Mus musculus: one gene and its partners. The protein of the gene in region 2 interacts with the protein of the main gene of each other region in a pairwise test. Links are inferred from orthologs where the notes say so. Each region holds a gene or a part of one and is shown on either strand. Other genes may lie near its edges.

The links.
Region 1: the proteins of Nme7 (region 2) and 1700094D03Rik interact in binary tests that used the Homo sapiens proteins (3 or more experiments, as listed by UniProt). The two-hybrid records come from large-scale screens. The link is inferred for Mus musculus from reciprocal best matches to the Homo sapiens genes NME7 and CFAP141.
Region 3: the proteins of Nme7 (region 2) and Syce1 interact in binary tests that used the Homo sapiens proteins (3 or more experiments, as listed by UniProt). The two-hybrid records come from large-scale screens. The link is inferred for Mus musculus from reciprocal best matches to the Homo sapiens genes NME7 and SYCE1.

What each region holds. Positions count from the first base shown.
Region 1 is NC_000069.6:90,061,244-90,065,657, reverse strand, and holds the start of 1700094D03Rik (uncharacterized protein C1orf189 homolog), read right to left. Parts: upstream 2,851-4,414; 5' UTR 2,808-2,850; coding exon 2,775-2,807; exon of another isoform or gene 2,450-2,774; coding exon 2,409-2,449; exon of another isoform or gene 2,317-2,408; intron 1,234-2,316; coding exon 1,104-1,233; intron 149-1,103; coding exon 47-148; 3' UTR 1-46. Other genes in the region: 4933434E20Rik (protein C1orf43 homolog), read right to left, coding at 3,825-4,020. UniProt on the Homo sapiens protein: Microtubule inner protein (MIP) part of the dynein-decorated doublet microtubules (DMTs) in cilia axoneme, which is required for motile cilia beating.
Region 2 is NC_000067.6:164,331,615-164,335,261, reverse strand, and holds part of Nme7 (nucleoside diphosphate kinase 7), read right to left. Parts: intron 2,651-3,647; coding exon 2,484-2,650; intron 1-2,483. UniProt on the Homo sapiens protein: Possesses an intrinsic kinase activity. Displays 3'-5' exonuclease activity with a preference for single-stranded DNA. Does not seem to have nucleoside diphosphate kinase activity.
Region 3 is NC_000073.6:140,777,834-140,781,480, reverse strand, and holds part of Syce1 (synaptonemal complex central element protein 1), read left to right. Parts: intron 1-546; coding exon 547-606; intron 607-949; coding exon 950-1,024; intron 1,025-1,550; coding exon 1,551-1,598; intron 1,599-1,832; coding exon 1,833-1,887; intron 1,888-2,054; coding exon 2,055-2,144; intron 2,145-2,352; coding exon 2,353-2,416; intron 2,417-2,904; coding exon 2,905-2,971; intron 2,972-3,048; coding exon 3,049-3,172; intron 3,173-3,235; coding exon 3,236-3,346; intron 3,347-3,482; coding exon 3,483-3,564; intron 3,565-3,647. UniProt on the Homo sapiens protein: Major component of the transverse central element of synaptonemal complexes (SCS), formed between homologous chromosomes during meiotic prophase. Requires SYCP1 in order to be incorporated into the central element.

The DNA of each region.
Region 1 (4,414 bases), on a different chromosome or scaffold from region 2:
TGCTTAGCAGGCGTGACGAGGTGGAAGAACAGTGTCTTGGCAGCTGTCAGAGTCTTTCCTCATAAAAAGCTTTGCCCATCTGATTGAGTTCCTGCTGGTACTGCTGATACTCCTTTTCAAACAGCTCGTGTAAGGCAGCTTGACGGACCTGGTAGGGAAGGCAATAAAGTGTTTGGTGTCGGCTCTTCAACACCTCTTCTCAGACTCTGGTTGCCTTTCCCATCCCTGTGTTCTGTTGCACCTGGACTTAGCTGGGACATAAAAGGAGGCAGTAGAAGAAAGTGTGAATCACTGGAGGGGAAGCCTACCTAATTTCCCTTCCCTTAGGCAGAGACTCATTGTTCAACAAATATTTTGCTGAGAATGCACCATGAACTAGAAAATCTGCTAGGTACTCAAGAAAATAAGAGTGACATCACAACTGTCCCCCAAGAGGAGAAACATCGGCTTAGGCTCTCACTGGATGAAAACAGTGAAGACTATGATGCACTGGGAATTGGAAATGTGTCACTTGCAGCTGGGGTGGGGGTTGGGGAGACACGCCTAGAATTCCAGTATATTCGAGGCTTGATGTCTGCAAGTTCCAGGCCATCCTGTGATGCAGAGCCAGACCTTGTCTTAAAAATAAATACATAAAATAAGACCCCTGGCTAGATGTAGTGATGCATTTTAATCCCAGCATGCAGGAGACAAGAGGCAGGTGGAGCTCTGAGTTCAGGGAGGCTAACCTGGCCTACTTAGCAAGTTCCAGGTCAGCTACGGCTGCAAAGTGAGATCCTGTTTCAAACTAAACCCAACCCAAAGAACCCAAGAAAACAAAGCTTTAATAACCCAAAGCTAAAAGAGCATCTCACCTGCAAATAATGAAAATGTAAAAATAATCACTTACTGAAAAAGAACTTTGACATGTGATGTTAATGTTCTGATAAAATAATGAAAAAGAATCTCAGAGGCAAATGATATGGTTAAGTCGAGAGAGAGAGAGAGAGAGAGAGAGAGAGAGAGAGAGAGAGAGAGAGAGAGAGAGAGGAATTTGATATCCTGGCTGGCAGGAACACAGAGCAGCAAAGGGGAAGACTCCAGGCTGCCCTCCTAGAACTCACCACTAGTAGCTGTTTGTTAGACAGTGCTAATTCCTGTTCCTTAGTATCCTTCATCCTTAGGGCAGCAAATAGGTTTCTCCGTTGGTCCAATGTTGTCTGCCACATACAGTGAATATGAAAATTCCGCCACCTGTCCCAGATGTAGGGGTGGGAATTAAACTGGTAAGTTAGTAGTAAGGATCCGCTGCTTTGAACTGACTTAGGATCTAGTGTGGACTGTTACTGAACTCTTACCATGAATAGAGTCAGATGCAGGTCAGCTGTTATAGTACACAGAGAAAGAAACTCACTTGTGTCACCTTGTTCTGGGTCTTACATCACTGTCCCCCTCCCCTGCCCTACCCCACCCTTTATTTTCAGACAGGGTTTCACTGTGTAGCCCTAGAACCACCTGCCTCTGCACCCAGAGTGCTGTGTTTAAGTCATTCACTACCACTGCCTAGCAACTAAAAAAAAAACAAAAACAAAAAAAACCCAAAAAACATTTTTATGTACCCAAACTGGGCTCCAACTCACATTGTAGCTAACCCAGAACTTCTGATGCCCATCTCTGTTGGAAAATAAATCCAAGTCCTGTGCAAGCTAGGCAAACAGTCTATAAGTGAGCTATCTGTGCCCTCCTTTAAAAGGCTTCTCACTATATAGTCCTGATTCTCTGGAATTATGTGGACCAGTCTGGGCACAAACTCAAGAGAGCCCCGTCTCTGCCCATAGTGTTGAAATTAAAGAACAAATACCACCAAACTGCGCCTCCCTTTGGGGTTGAGAGTCTATCAGTCACAAGTTAGTTTAGGCTGGCCTCAGATTCATGCTCATCCAAGCACCGAGATTATAGGTATGGGCCTCTCTGTGCTGCTTCTGCCAGCACTTAAAAAAAAAAAAAAAAGAGGAAGATTGGAGATACAGCTGGTGGTAGAATGCTTCCATGCACAAAGCCCTGGATTCAATATACCCCAGTGCCACAAACATCACAATGTTAGCAGGTGAAATCTGCAGTTCAACCTGCCAGGGACTGTCACTTGTTCACCAACTGTTGAAATACCTGATGTATAATTAGTACAAAGCCAGGTGAGGAACACAAGAACATTCAAAAAAAGAAAGGCAAAACAACAAACACTTGTGCCGTTTCTGCAGGGGATGGGAAGCAGGGGCAGAGAAAGACAAGGCTCATCTCCTCTCCCTGTTTTTCTCTCTGCTCTGTGTTTTCCTTCTTGAGGAGTCCTCACGGAGAGCAGATTTCGGTGGTGCCTCAGGGAGAGGAGAGCAGAAAATACAAACTGATGAGAGCAGATGAAAACAGATTACCTGTCGACAGTCTTCTTAAGTGCCACAGCTCTTTGCAAATTCTGCAAGAGAAGGGAGTTCTGTTGATCTCCTGGATTGCTAGAAGCATACCACTAGTACCCACTTTTTGAGGAATGAAGTAGTGAGCTTCATAGGGGCAAGTGGGAAAGCTCCACATCTTGAAATCAGACTGAAGAGAAAATACAGGAGCCAGAGGGACTTATGCAAACAGCCACTCTGTTCCACAAGCAGTTTCCCATATATTGCCAACTCTCCCTTATGCTTCCAAGGGTCTTTCTCGGGAATGGTGTACTTTGGGTAAAATAACCTGGAACCATATCAAAGAAAACTCCACCAACTCCCAACCCTCTTTCCGACCCTCCATACCTCTTCTAGTTTTGTCATTTTTTCTGCAGACATATCTACTACAGACATGCTTGCTAAGTTTGGGGACACTGGGAAGGCTCTCCTTTCTGTTTAGTTTGGTCACCAAGGTTTCAGTAGTCATAGCAACATTTAGGCGTCCAACAATGACCCTAGTCCTGGTAGTTGACTGGTTACTTGGGCCTGTTGCCCTAGTGACCTGAAGGGAATCCTGATTCTCCAGCTTTCTATTAGTGACAAGGCCAGGCTATAAGCATGAGCCACACAGTCCCTATTTTAGGATTTCTTCTGTTGGAATTTCAGACTATCAGTAGTTTAGATCCAGACACACAATCCAATCAGTTTCTGGAAGCGACACTCCACACCCTATGTCCTGTAAGGAAAATGTAAGCACACATCAAATGCCTGTTGCTCTAAAGACCACTCTAAAGAAATGATCCATGGTTTTACAGTAGTTAGTTTTATTAAGTACTTTGTAAACTGAGACTAATACGCTGACATCAGAGGATACCACTTTTTCACATTATCTCACCATCGTGGCATAGGTTATGCCAAGTGCCAGAATGCCCCTTTCTACTTGTCCTAAGGACTGGGTGAAGGTGGGGACAGATCCTTCCACTTTAGGAAAGTCATGTTCATGTCACAATACACCTGGTTTAAACGGAGCAACAAAATCCCAAAGGACATTCTACCCACTTTTGAGATGCTCTAAACCCAAATATTTCTATTCAGTTGAGTGCAATGGGGCAGACAGAGAAGACACCTCACCTCAACTTACATCCTTGGGATTAAACAGCATTTAACAGGGTAGGTGATTTACAGCCAAAATCAAGCGAAGATTTTCAAAGAAGCATCAACAGAAATGTTAAGAATGACATTTGAATTCAAATCCAGAAGAAGTGCTACTGGGAGATACTGAGGTCTTAGCCAATATCAGAAAGGGTTGGGAATGACCTTTTAGACACTGTTCTGTAAGAATGCTTTGGCCAATAAAGCCTGGGTCTGCTGAACCAGACATCCCGAGTGCTGCACGGCTGCACGTGTGCAGCCCCATCACAGAGTGCTCTCCAGTGTGTTATAGTTGTCCTTAAAGCTCTTCAGTTCCAGGAAGTGCTTAGGGCGTTTGCTCTTCTGACTGGAAGGCAGGTATGTGACCTGGATTGTTGTTGGTGACATTTCAGGTGACTGAGTTAGGTCTTTGGCTGCTGACTGGTGTTGTCTCTGAGAACTTCCAATTCGTGCTTTGACCCTGAAGAATATATAGCAGGCATGGACAGAGTGAGAACTAGCAGAAAAGGGGTTGGAGAGATGACTCCTTGGTTAATAACATATACCGCTCCTCCAGAGGACCAGAGTTCAAGTCCTGGCAACCACATGAAGTGTCTGTAATTCTAGCTCCAGGCCAGAACCTTTTTTTTTTTTTTTATTTTGGTTTTTCAAGACAGGGTTTCTCTGTATATAGTCCTGGCTGTCCTGGACTCACTTTGTAGACCAGGCTGGCCTCGAACTCAGAAATCATCCTGCCTCTGCCCCCTGAGTGCTGGGATTAAAGGCGTGCGCCACCACGCCCGGCTCAGGCCAGAACCTTTACACATGCTTAACTAAAACTAGTGAAAAATGCATCTTAAAAACAAGAAATTCCC
Region 2 (3,647 bases):
ATTTAATCTATTCTCAGAAAGCTGCAACTCATAAATGTGGACAATGAAAAGTAAAATGCCATTTCATAGCAAGGGAAATCATTTTTCAGAAGAGAATCATTATTAAGTCCATTTTTGGTTTTGGTTTTTGGTTTTTCTTTAAAGCTTGCTTTTTAGCTGCATCTCCAATTGGTTCTGTTTCTTTCTAAACCAAAACTAAAGAAAATCAGGGTGGCAAGCAGTAAGGAAAGAATAATAAAAAGGTACATGTGGGGGTATCTGCATGTGTGCGAGAGAGTGTGCAGTGTGTGTGTGTGTGTGTGTGTGTGTGTGTGTGTGTGTGTGTGTGTGGTGCAGCTACTGGGAGGTCTTTAGGTCACAGCTTAGAAGGGCTGTTAGGACTGCAGACCCTTTTGTGCCCTGAGGTAAACAGCTTCCTCTACCACTCAATATCCTTCATAATGTGTTCTACTGCAGGGACCCAAAGCATTGAGCCAAAAAAGTCACGGAATGAAGGCTGCAAAACTCGGAGGTGAAATTAACCTTGCTCTTGCAATGCGTAAAGAGATTTGCTCAGGGATGCAGAAGACACGGAAATGAGTAAGACAGCAAGAGAAGAATCGTCCCCAGGTCCTATCCAGTCCCGAATTTCTGGGTTTTGGTATTTAAATTTATCTTAGTGGTTGCGCAGAGCAATGAGCTTCAGTGTTCCATTTTCATAATGTACCTCCTTGACCTTCACTCACAGACCGAGCTTACCCAGTCCCTTCCTCTGTCCCCTTTCAGATGAGGCTTCTGTCCCACCCTGCCCCAGGTCCTCCTGCAGGGATCTGCCCCAGTGGAGCAGTGCACTGCCCACTCCGTCCCACTGGGTTGTCCTTTTTGTTTGCCCACACATTATAGTTGACATAATTGTCTTTTAAAAATTTATTTTTAGCTAATATATAAAATAATGTGATTCATGGTGATATTTTTGTTATAGTCTGCTATTTTTCACACCCCACCGCCCTCCCTAATCCTGACTCACTTCTTGTTAGTCCCTTTCCCTTCACCCAGTAATCTGTTAGCTTTTATGACGTGTATATTTTATTACAATTTCTCACTCCCCAACTCCCCACTCTCTTTAAACTTCTTCCCTCCATGGTCCCCTTTCTATACTCTATCTATCTATCTATCTATCTATCTATCCATCCATCCATCAATCCACCCACCCACCTATCCATCTATCTATATTCCACATATTTAAAAAAAAAACCCACTTGATATCTTTCAGTAATCTGGCTTCTTTCACTTAATGTAATGATCTCCAGGTCTGTCCACTTCCTTGCAGATGTTAGAATTTCACTCTCTATAGCTGAATAAAATTCCCTGGAGCAAGCTACTTCTTGCTTTGTGATTTCTGATGTTCTGATCGCTCTCTCCTTGGGGCAGGGTCTATTCTCTGTTACCTTGCCTATCTCTTCTGTTAAATTGCCCTGAGGCAGCTTCTCATCATCATCTCACCCAAAGTTTCTAGAACTTCCATTCTTAACTTGAACTGTCTTTGATCTTTGTTATTTGGTTTTTTTGTTTTTTTGTTTTTTTGTCTTTTTTGTTTTTTTTGTTTTTTTGTTTTTTTTTTTTGAGACAGGGTCACATGTAACCCAAGCTGGCCCTTGACTCCCTCTGTAAACTAATATGATCTTGAACTTCTGATCTTTCTACCTCCACTTCCCACATGCTGGCATGACAGAAACGTGCCACCACCTCCAGTTTTACACGGGGCTAGGTCTCAGGCCTTTGGGCTTCATCTTTGCTAGACAAGCACTGCCCCAACTGAGCTGCTTCCTGGCATGCACTGCTGCATTTCTATTAATCACGTACACTCCTTACTTCTTCTGCATATCTACTGTTACCATAATAATTCAGATCATTGTTGTAGTAATTAAACTTTTATAAGTTTTAGCCCCCAACTTACACAAGCAGGATAGCAAATAGTTGTTCTAACTTAAGACAGGATTTCCCACCTTTGGATCTTTCTCTATACTCACTCCTTTGATTAGCATTTCTCCCCAGTTCATCTAATTGGGGTAATAATTTAATTCAGTTTTATCAAGACAGAACAAACCCACAAAGCCTTCAGTTTTGCAAGAACTAACTTCACCGTCTCCCGGGTTACCGTGATTCGTACCAGCATCATGCTTATGCTTAGGAAGAAAACCTTATGCTCAAATAGTCTTAGGTTTTAGTGACAAATATAAAAAGCAGATAGAATGTGTAAGAGCTTTATCTCTGCCACCCACCCATCCAAACAGTCACCTCCTAAGACTACAGATATTGCTTCAATATTCTAATTAGGAACCAATCCCTGAATCAGTACCAAAATATTTTTAATGTTATAAAATTATATTAGGTCGCTGGAAAAACTATGTTGTGAAAACATGACCGAGGAGAGGAAATCAGAAGTTAGTGGCCAAAGTCACAGGCAAGGTTTCAATGGAAAAAGATGGCCCGGCTGTTCTTACTTCTCTTTCCTGCTGCCCAGCTGGCGGGCTGTGTATTGGTCCCCATAGTCAATCAACACCAGCTGTCGAGAAAACACATTGACTTTGTTGCCTATAAATAGATCTTCCAGGCGCAGGTCCTCATACTTGGTCCGCTTTAAGAAGGTGCGACGATTCTTTACATCATGCTAGAAACAGACACAGTAAGAATACTTATGAAGAACGTACGCCTTACAGAGAAAAGTCTCCAATTGATTTTACAAAAGACAGCTATATCCTATTACTTTATAACTACGTATATAAATTATATTTTATACTGTGAAGCTTTATTTCCAATCCAATCTAGTGATAAAAGTTTGTAATTAAAATATATATTTTAGAATATCCTAAATAGACCAAGTTATTTCAGTAACTCACCAGCTATGAGTGACAGAGACAGATTCTCATATTTCTTTTTATGTACACATCCCAATCACTAAAAAAAATTGTATTTCCTTTAAGAGATGTGTATTCATGTGTGTCTCCCTTTCTGTGGGTAGGTACATGTGAGTGAAGGTGCAGAAGTCACTGTTGGCTTGCCAGCAGCTGGAGTTACAGTTGCTGTGAGCGGCTCGGTGTAGGTGCCGGGAACCAAACTTGGGACCTACAAGGGCAGCTAGCACCCTTAACTGAGCCTTCTCTCTAGGCTCCAACCCCAACTGAGCTGACTTTTTAAAGTGATTGCCAATGAAGTGATGCAAAGAAAGGGACCCTCTTAGAGCCTCTTTAATTTGACATTTTATACAGATACCAACTTTTAACCGTAATATTTATGACTATGATAACCATTTATCTGTAACTACTTATCAAATATTGATTAATCCCAAAAAACAGTTGTCCTACTTCATTTTGGGGTCTCTCTATATATCTACTTCTATATATGTGTGTTATATGCAAGTGTGCATCCCTACAAACATACATGATATAGGAGGTTGCCTGATGTCTTCTTCAGTCATTTCTCACATTATTGTCTTAACACAGGCTCTCTCACTGAACCTGAAGTTTGCTTTAAGTTGGGTCAGCTGGCCAGAGAGCTCCAGGGAGCTCCTGCCTCTGTTACTCAGGATTGGAGTTCTCACAGGGAACAAGGCCCAGCCATTATGTAGGTAGGTGCTTAAGAGTCAAGCTCAGGCCTTCACACTTTTG
Region 3 (3,647 bases), on a different chromosome or scaffold from region 2:
ATTTTAGTTTTTGAACTAAAAGGGAGTCATGATGATTCAAAGTTATAGTAGCATGAGAGTGAACAGAAGAAGGCAATATGTCTTCCCAAAGCACCGTCCCAGGTCTCCTTTGACTTCACAGCAGTCTGTTAGATCCAGAGGTTTTACCCATAACCTCTTCCACTTTACATCCTGCCACCTTCTACTTGATCATATGTATCCTGTTTCCTTCTCATTTCCTCCTCAGGGCACCCACTGCTTTACCCAGAGAGCCTGAGGGCCTGCCTTCCTTGATGGAAGCCCCCCAAGACACTTTCCCATATCTGAGAAGCACTTTTTGACCTTTGCCTATGGACCTCTCCCCTTGCTTCATTTCTCTTGACTGAAGTTCCTACAGCTTGGCTCAGTATCTCTATCGGTCTGTTCCTTGTCCCCACAATCCTAGATTGAGACCGTAATGTAGCACCTGTACACGTGAGATGCTTAGGAGATTTCTGTAAAGTAAAAGCTGTAGAATCCCAGGTTAGACACACTCTATCAATAATGAGCTTCCTTTTTGCTTTGCAGTGGGAAGCCTAGAGCCCCGGATTGAGGTCCTGATTAACCGTATTAATGAGGTTCAGCAAGGTGAGCTCAGTGATTGGCTGCCATCCAGGACCAGCTACAAGTTTTAACTGGCCAGGCCCAATAAAAAGTGGAAATACAGGGGTCCTTGTTAAAGTCTCTGTAGTTATTTCATGAGAGCATAAGTGCAGGGCCCTTCTGCCTGTAACCGCCATAGTCATTTGCCTGTGAACACAGCCCTGCTGCCACCCGAGCCTAGCAAGAAGGGCCAGGATTTAGAAAGCCTTGTTTCCTGCTTTGTAAAATCTGGGCCCCCTCTAAGTTTTCTTTGGGGGGAGAGTGTGAAATCTCCTCATTTGTCCTTGAGGCTGTACTTACCAAATGTCTGTCCTCCTCTTTGGTAAAGCAAAAAAGAAAGCCAGTGAGGAGCTTGGAGAGGCCCAGACTGTCTGGGACAACCTGCAGAAGGAACTGGACTTACGTAAGTTAACTGAGAGTCACTAGAGGTTTCTATGATGTCTTAGACTTCTAATGCAGTCCTGCAAACACCCGGGCCATGACTTCTCCTCCAACCTCATTTCTTCTAGCAGTCCCATCTTCTAACAGGAGGGCTGTGGAAATGCCTTTGAGGCCTGTTCTGCCCTGAGTCCTTTGCAGAGATGATCCTCCATGTATTGCCCTAGATAATACAAGTTATTGCCTCACACCAGCAGCTGTATATTATTAGAAATGTCTTTCTTAGTCATCTTGCATTACCTGATCACATAGCCCTTTTGATTGGTGTTGTTTTTCCTGGTCCCAGTGGTTGTTGTACATGGACATGGATATCTTTTGTGAAAATTAGGGCACATTGTGTTTACAGGAATGTGGATACCCGTAGGGGTAGGAACTTACCTCAAGGAAACTGCATCTGGGTTAGGGTCACAGTTATACTTGCCTCTCGTATGACTGCCCTTGACGTTTCTGTGTTTGGTCTCTAATGCCTGAACCTTCATCATCTTTTCTAGTACGTGAAGAGAAAGTACGTCTGAAGGATATTTTGAACAGAAAGGAAGGTATTCCCATATTACCCATTTCTAGGCTTTGTGATACCCTATCTAAGCCCACTCTCTCTAGTAGCTAGAAACTTAAGAACTCCCAACCTTGTGACATTCCTATGGCTTTTACCAGACCCAGAAAATGTCAAAATCCAATCAAGTGTCCACAGACTTGATGTGATATGTTTTTTTCTATTTGCCAAATTAGATGCCTTAGCAAGCACTCAGAGGGCACTGTTGTTATCCTTACAGAGACCCTGAGGATTATGCAGCTGCACTGCCAGGAGAAGGAAAGTGAGGCACAGAGGTAAGATGCCATGCCTGCAGTGGTTTCCCTAAGTGTTCCTGTTACCTCCCACACCATCTGCTCTGCTAGACACAGGCTTGAATACAGAGGAACAGAATAGAAGCCCCCAGCCCTCCCTCCAGGAGAGTCATTCAAAGAACATGGCTGAGTGTTGGTTTCTTTCCCAGGAAGCACAGCATGTTGCAGGAGTGTAAAGAGAGAATTTCTTTCCTGAACTCCCAGATCGACAAAGAGAAGGCCAAACTAAGAAAACTGAGGTAAACCTCAAGGTGTGAGGCTTGGGCTGGGGACGTGATATAGGTATAGTAATGCCCGGGATGGCCAGCCATAGTCCTGGATGGTCAAGGGGTGAAGCTATTCCTTGTGTAAGAGTGGACACGAAGTCCTTGGGTGCTATATAGACTCAGACCTTGGCCTAGCTCTGTGGTAGTTCATGGCCATCATGGCTCTGTGGTTGCCTCCTAGGTTGGATTTTGAAGAACATCTGGAGACTTTGATGAGTCAACATAAGGACACCTTGGAATTTCATGTGAGTCATACAACACTATGCTACCTATTATACTTTGTCCCTGTGCAAGCATTGGTTGGTGGTCCTGCTGTCATCGTAAATCCAGTCCCTGGTGACCACTCTTGAGATACTTGGTGTCTTCAGTATTGGTCCTTACCATTCACTCATGTTGCTGTGTCCATTCAGTGTTCTCTATGTCAGTGAGGAGGCCAGGAGGAGAGAAGAGAGGAAGAAACGCTAATACCTAAGTCTTCAGAGTGTCTCAGGATTGTAGGATTGCAGATTTTAGGGTTTCGAATACTTGCCCTAGAACCTCATTACAGGGTTAAAGGTCCGAGGAGAGGGAATGACGAGATCCATAAACCATAGCTGGCACACACCAAGGGGCAGGGTCCTCGGAAGTGAAACTTACTGAGAGGAGAAATGATGAGATGTAGACAGGCTTCTCTGAAGCTCAGGGGAGCCAGGAGATCTGGACATATCTTCTTGTTTGTGCCCCCCCACCCCAGAAGCCTGAACATCTGACAAAGGAGATGTGTGTTTTGGACAGCAGCAAGGAGCAGCTGCTCAAGGAAGGTGAGGTCAGGGCCAGAAGGGTGGCTCTCAGCTGCACCAACCTGCCCTTACCTTCTTATTACTCTTTCTCTCTGTAGAGAAACTGATGAAAGTAAAGCTGGAGGATGTGAGACAGCGGCTGTGTGCCCTGGGCGGGCCTGAGGGTTCTTCCAGCCTCATTGAGGGACTCTTCCTCCGAAGCCATGAGGCAGCTGCAGCAATGTAAGATGCAGGGTGGGGCAGGAGGAGGAAATGTCTAGCACTGACTTCTTTCCACACTATCAGGCAGATGTTCAAGGATGAGAACAAGAAAGCTGAGGAGTTCCTAGAGGCTGCAGCTCAGCAGCACGAGCAGCTGCAGCAGAGGTGCCACCAGCTACAGCAGAAACGGCAGAGGTAGGCACGGAGCTCCTGTGTCCTCATTTCTCCCAGGAAGGTGAATGGCAGCTGTTTCCCCTGTTCTGCCGGTATGTCTCTTCATATTTTCTTGATTTTTCTGCTTTCATTCTCGTCCTTCACGCTTCCCGGACAGGCTGAAGGAAGAACTGGAAAAGCATGGGGTACAGATCCTTGCTCATAGTACGCAAAACGAAGAAGACAGCTCATGGAGGATGGTAAATCCGGGAACAGAAGGGAAAGGAAAAAAGTGGTATTCTCCAGAGTATAGTCTGTGGAAAGGGCATTCCTCTGAGGAGGC